2 linked regions of the Saccharomyces cerevisiae S288C genome follow. The gene in region 1 interacts genetically with each later gene. Each region holds a gene or a part of one and is shown on either strand. Other genes may lie near its edges. The genes, in order: YLL066W-B and PPS1.

Region 1 (3,007 bases):
TCTACAATAAAACATTTCGGCAGAAACTGGAATATCTTTTGGAGCAGATTTCGGAGGTGTGGTTGTTACCACATTGGGTTGATTTGGCAAACGTTGAAGTTCTCGCTGCAGATAACACGAGGGTACCGCTGTACATGCTGATGGTAGCGGTTCACAAAGAGCTGGATAGCGATGATGTTCCAGACGGTAGATTTGATATAATATTACTATGTAGAGATTCGAGCAGAGAAGTTGGAGAGTGAAGGAAATTGTTGTTACGAAAGTCAGTGATTATGTATTGTGTAGTATAGTATATTGTAAGAAATTTTTTTTTCTAGGGAATATGCGTTTTGATGTAGTAGTATTTCACTGTTTTGATTTAGTGTTTGTTGCACGGCAGTAGCGAGAGACAAGTGGGAAAGAGTAGGATAAAAAGACAATCTATAAAAAGTAAACATAAAATAAAGGTAGTAAGTAGCTTTTGGTTGAACATCCGGGTAAGAGACAACAGGGCTTGGAGGAGACGTACATGAGGGCTACTTAGGGCTATGTAAAAGTGTTGTAGGGCTAAAGAAGAGGGTTTCATTTTCATTTTTTTTAATTTCGGTCAGAAAGCCGGGTAAGGTGTGACAGCGAGAGTAAAGGTAGATGTAAGAGAGTGTGTGGGTGTGTGGTGTGTGTGGGTGTGGGTGTGGTGTGGGTGTGGTGTGTGGGTGTGGTGTATATATATGTCACTGTATTGCATGCTGGATGGTGTTAGACAAGGCCGTAGGGACATATAGCATCTAGGAAGTAACCTTGTACGAAAATAGGCAATATTTCCTGTTTAGGCGATTGTGACGCAGATTTTAGTCCAACGATCTAGCGTCAAGGAATTTTTTTATAGTGGGACATTGCACCAAGGAAGTAACTTGATACGTCGTGGGTGAATGGGTCTGTTTTCTTATTCGGCAGGGTAATACATTTTTGGGGGAAGTTTGTCTGTCTGACGCGCCATATGTAGGTACGCCAAAAAGGGCTCCTCTACTTCGAAGCGCGAGGTCGTATACCTAATAAGGAAATGTAATTTATAACTTTCTATTATATTGGTCTTTTCGAGAGCGGAAGAAGTTGTAGGCTAAGCGCAGGCTAAGCGTAGGTCCATATTTAAAGTATCCAAGAGAATATCCACGAAGCGGCTGAGCAACGAACAGAATCCTGGTTCTCCTCGACTAAGCAGATAGTTAAGATACTGTGCACCATGGAAATTGAAAACGAACGTACGTACCGACTACTTTATTTTTGCAGGCCGGAAATCAAGGATGAATGAGACATCCTTCTGTTTTCTATGTTGGGACAGACAGTCGCTTATCTTAGTGAGATTTCTTATTAACTGAATTTTCTTTGCTGCTGCTGGAGATTTGCACCTGCATAGCGCAGATTCTGCTTCTTCTCAATAGAGTAGCTTAATTATTACATTCTTAGATGATGATAAGACGGAAACTGGACAATCTTTTGTTTATATTGATGGATTTCTTGTCAAAAAGCATAACAATCAACATACTATTGTTAATTTCGAAACTTACAAAAATAAAATGAAAGTTTCCGATAGGCGTAAGTTTGAAAAAGCAAACTTTGACGAGTTTGAGTCGGCTCTAAATAACAAAAACGACTTGGTACATTGTCCCTCAATAACTTTATTTGAATCGATCCCCACGGAAGTGCGGTCATTCTACGAAGACGAAAAGTCTGGCCTAATCAAAGTGGTAAAATTCAGAACTGGTGCAATGGATAGGAAAAGGTCTTTTGAAAAAATTGTCGTTTCCGTCATGGTCGGGAAAAATGTACAAAAGTTCCTGACGTTTGTTGAAGACGAACCAGATTTCCAGGGCGGACCAATCCCTTCAAAGTATCTTATTCCCAAGAAAATCAACTTGATGGTCTACACGTTGTTTCAAGTGCATACTTTGAAATTCAATAGAAAGGATTACGATACCCTTTCTCTTTTTTACCTCAACAGAGGATACTATAATGAGTTGAGTTTCCGTGTCCTGGAACGTTGTCACGAAATAGCGAGTGCCAGGCCGAACGACAGCTCTACGATGCGTACTTTCACTGACTTTGTTTCTGGCGCACCTATTGTAAGGAGTCTTCAGAAAAGCACCATAAGGAGATATGGGTACAATTTGGCACCCCACATGTTTTTGTTACTACACGTAGATGAGCTATCGATTTTTTCTGCATACCAAGCAAGTTTACCTGGCGAAAAGAAAGTCGACACAGAGCGGCTGAAGCGTGATCTATGCCCACGTAAACCCATTGAGATAAAGTACTTTTCACAGATATGTAACGATATGATGAACAAAAAGGACCGATTGGGTGATGTTTTGCATGTGTGCTGCCCAAGTTGAGAAGAGATACTAACAAAATGACCGCGGCTCTCAAAAATAATTGACGAGCTTACGGTGATACGCTTACCGTTATCCAGAGCTACAGCGCAACGTATACGTCGACGATACAACAAGAACGGTTCATCGGAGCCTCGACTAAAGACGCTTGACGGACTCACTTCCGAGCGCTGGATTCAATGGTTAGGCCTTGAAAGCGACTACCATTGTTCATTCTCTAGTACTCGGAATGCGGAAGACGTAGTGGCAGGTGAGGCGGCGAGTTCAGATCATGATCAAAAAATTTCAAGAGTAACGCGAAAAAGGCCCCGAGAGCCCAAGAGTACAAACGATATCCTCGTCGCAGGCCAGAAACTCTTTGGCAGCTCCTTTGAATTCAGGGACTTGCATCAGTTGCGCTTATGTCATGAAATATACATGGCAGACACACCCTCTGTGGCAGTACAGGCCCCACCGGGCTATGGTAAGACGGAGTTATTTCATCTCCCCTTGATAGCACTGGCGTCTAAGGGCGACGTGAAATATGTGTCGTTTCTGTTTGTACCGTACACAGTGTTGCTTGCTAATTGCATGATCAGGTTGGGCCGATGCGGTTGCTTGAATGTGGCCCCTGTAAGAAACTTTATTGAAGAAGGTTGCGA
Region 2 (3,936 bases), on another chromosome or scaffold:
TATTCGTCATAGTTATTGCACGATGTGGCCTTACAGGATGAGCAATTTTATCCTTATTCAATGTCCATGAAACAACTTCACCGACAGAAACTATATGCGTAATTCCTAGAGACTTAAGTAAGGCAGGATTTTGTGCATGATCCAGGGATCCCAAATACAAGTGACGTAGAATCCGGGATGGCAGTGGGCCCTTCAAATTAACGAAATTAGACTCAAGAGGAATCTTCATAAAAAATATGCTACTAAAAAGCTCTGAAGAAATGTGTAATTGAAAGCTTTTATCCCTAAATTTCAATGCATTGGCATATAATTTTAGATTACTTCCATTCTGCGGACTAAACTCCCGCAGGACAGGTTGTAAATGGCCTAAAATTTGCAAGTCTGATGGAAAAAGGAAAAATGGTCTTGGATGGATCCTCAAAAGAGCGTCTTGTAACGGAATATTAAAGTGGAATATAATATAAGCTGTTAATAATAATGACGTTTCTGTATATCCGTCTTCGCAATACATGAACGTCAATAATTCTTGAACTTGGGATACTTGAAATATTAAATAACAAACATTCAAAAGAATTTCCACAGACTGAATGTTTAAGTTCCCCAAACCTATACTACCTGAGGCAGGGAAAGTCAAATGCAAATGCTCTTGTGATTTTGACGCATCATCGTCTAATAAAAGATCTAGATATGTTCGGATTTTCGTTAACGACGGCATTTGCGAGTTTGACGTACATTTTATGATCAATTTCCACACCTCTTTTGTATTCGGTATGTTATACAGTTGAGAAATGGAGGTTGTCGGATTGTCCGTATCATAATTTAGAGACTTTAAATTTACTATGCTTGTATTCTCTTCGAAACGGTGGGTCAGAGATATATTGTTTTTTTTAATTATTTGATAATTATGCCAATCAGTGGTGTTACCGCAAATCAACCCTGTTTCCTCCAATCGTGTAGCTGAAGTCAGCTTATTCAACTCTAACTTCTCGCACAAAACCATATTCTTATCAACGTTATTGAAACACACTATTTCACTAGGTGACGAACATAAATTCAAGGGAGTATTATTCTTGAAAAATTCGTTGTCTAATAAAGGTGTACCAATCAAAGTTTGAGGTATATCTGTATTGAAATTCTGATAAGTGCAAATAAAAAGATTCGTCTTGTAAAGCGATCCTCCACTCCCTACATAACCCTTTTGAACAAACATTAAACAGATCTGTAAAAGTAGTGCAAGGGTTGTACAATTGGGGCAATTTCCCTCGTGTGAGCACGCTGGCGCTGATTCTGTTTGCATATCAGTGCTGCCACCAGTCCGCGAACAATAAATTACTATATTATCAACCATTTCTATCATCTTGGCACATTGCAGGTCGAACCTTCGGAATAGACCTCTCCTTCCCCAGACGTCCTGCCCACTCCGTTTTAGCGTGGTATTAGACCCAACCTTGTTTCTAGAATACCTTTTAAGTTCTAATGATAGTCCACGAGGATCTACTTTCAGAAATGGTAAAATGCTATGATTGTGACAATAAGTAGCAGCGTTTTCCAAAGCAACATCATCCACTTGCAATTCCAATTGTCGTATCTGAAACTTTAGCAAGTTCAAAAGTTCCTTTGTGTTATTGGGATATTGAAAACCATTAGAATCATTTCCAGTTTCACAGGTATCGCCCTCTCTATGAAAGGAAGTGCGAACTTTCCAGGACTGGAAGATATCATTCACTTCGAGAGAATTACGCAAAAGCGCAGAATTGTTAGCATCTGATTGCGATTTGACTATTGCAAGAGAATGAGGAAAATCGGGTGGTTGACCAAAGGAAATATCATGAGCCCAGGGGAACATTTTTTTACATTCAGGCCATTCTGCATCCTGATGTAGTCGCATAAGATCATGCAGTTCACCAGGTGTGATTGAGGGCACTTCCAAAACCATGGTTGTTGCTCTAGTTTTCTATACCCGCCCCTTCTACCTCAATGACAATCTCTCTTTTATGGTTGGTGTTTCTTTTCACTTTTTTACTTCTTCTTGTACTTTTCTTTTTGAACCTTAAAAACTCTTGCAATTATGTTTCCATGATGCTTTTGAAGTAATAATTTATTTTTATTACGCGAAATTAATGGCCTTAACAACTGCCTGCCCCAACAGATAAAAACAAGCAAGGGTCAACCGTGTTGCAAAAAAAATGTCCAACTTAGTTAAAGAAAAAGCACCTGTCTTTCCTATATCTAAAGTAAAGAAGATTGCCAAATGCGACCCCGAATACGTAATTACATCTAATGTAGCTATATCAGCGACCGCATTCGCTGCTGAGTTATTTGTACAGAATCTCGTCGAAGAATCGCTGGTCTTAGCACAACTGAATTCGAAAGGAAAGACAAGCCTACGATTAAGCCTAAATTCTATAGAAGAATGTGTCGAAAAAAGAGATAATTTCAGGTTTCTAGAGGATGCCATTAAACAACTGAAGAAGAATAGCGCACTCGACAAGAAGAGAGAACTAAACATGCAACCGGGTCGGAGCGATCAAGAGGTTGTTATAGAAGAGCCTGAATTGCATGAGGATGATGGTGTAGAGGAAGAAGAAGAAGAAGACGAGGTATCCGAAGAAGAAGAGCCCGTACACAATGAAGAACTTCTTGATGATAGTAAAGATCAACAAAATGATAAATCCACGCGCAGTGTGGCAAGCTTGCTGTCGAGATTCCAGTATAAATCCGCACTAGACGTAGGAGAACACTCCGACTCTTCTGATATCGAAGTTGACCATACGAAAAGCACCGATCCTTAGTGTTGTTGCTATTATTGCTATGTAATTACTATTCGATGCAATATGTTATACATATACATACACGCAATGAGAACCCTAACCTTGAACTTACTATTTTAAAAGGACATCTCGAAAAAGCTTAGGGATAATTAATATTTTGTAGGTTAGAGCTGTTATGTAGGGAAGAAAAACAAGGGCTTTAAAATAATAATCACATTACACGAATAACTTAATTTGTCTTTCTGAAATGGAAAAAGAAAAAAATGACGACTGTAACATTGGATGAATTAATACTGTCATTATTGATACGTTGTTAATTATAGACAGAAATGTATTCAGTACAATAGAACAGTGCTCATAATAGTATAAAGGGTCACAATGTCCAAAAAACAGGAATATATTGCACCAATAAAATACCAAAACAGCTTGCCTGTGCCACAATTACCTCCTAAACTTCTGGTTTACCCCGAGTCTCCGGAGACGAATGCAGACTCCTCCCAACTAATCAATTCACTATACATCAAAACAAACGTCACTAATCTAATTCAACAGGATGAAGATTTAGGTATGCCGGTTGATTTGATGAAATTCCCAGGCCTATTGAACAAATTAGATTCTAAACTGCTTTACGGCTTTGATAATGTGAAATTGGACAAAGATGATCGAATTTTACTGAGGGACCCTAGAATAGATAGACTGACCAAGACTGATATATCAAAGGTTACCTTCTTGAGACGCACCGAATATGTCTCCAATACAATTGCAGCCCATGATAACACATCGTTGAAAAGGAAAAGGCGCTTGGATGATGGAGATTCGGATGATGAAAACCTTGATGTTAATCATATAATTAGTAGGGTCGAAGGAACATTCAATAAGACGGACAAATGGCAACATCCGGTGAAGAAGGGTGTCAAGATGGTTAAAAAATGGGACCTATTGCCCGACACAGCTTCAATGGACCAGGTGTATTTTATCCTAAAATTCATGGGCAGTGCATCATTGGATACTAAAGAAAAAAAATCTTTAAATACAGGAATTTTCAGGCCAGTGGAACTGGAAGAAGACGAATGGATTTCCATGTATGCCACAGATCATAAGGACTCTGCCATTCTGGAAAACGAATTGGAAAAGGGTATGGATGAAATGGATGATGACTCTCATG

Evidence for each region.
Region 2: mutations in YLL066W-B (region 1) and PPS1 together harm fitness less than expected from each alone (positive genetic interaction), as found in Saccharomyces cerevisiae (one large-scale study listed by BioGRID).

What each region holds. Positions count from the first base shown.
Region 1 is NC_001144.5:3,355-6,361, reverse strand, and holds YLL066W-B (uncharacterized protein), read right to left. Parts: upstream 758-3,007; coding exon 587-757; downstream 1-586. Other genes in the region: YLL066C (Y' element ATP-dependent helicase), read left to right, coding at 1-242; YLL067C (Y' element ATP-dependent helicase), read left to right, coding at 2,061-2,347, 2,447-3,007.
Region 2 is NC_001134.8:758,108-762,043, forward strand, and holds the start of PPS1 (tyrosine/serine/threonine protein phosphatase PPS1), read right to left. Parts: upstream 1,937-3,936; coding exon 1-1,936. Other genes in the region: DPB3 (DNA polymerase epsilon noncatalytic subunit), read left to right, coding at 2,187-2,792; PAF1 (Paf1p), read left to right, coding at 3,150-3,936. UniProt on the Saccharomyces cerevisiae protein: Protein phosphatase with specificity for serine, threonine, and tyrosine residues; has a role in the DNA synthesis phase of the cell cycle.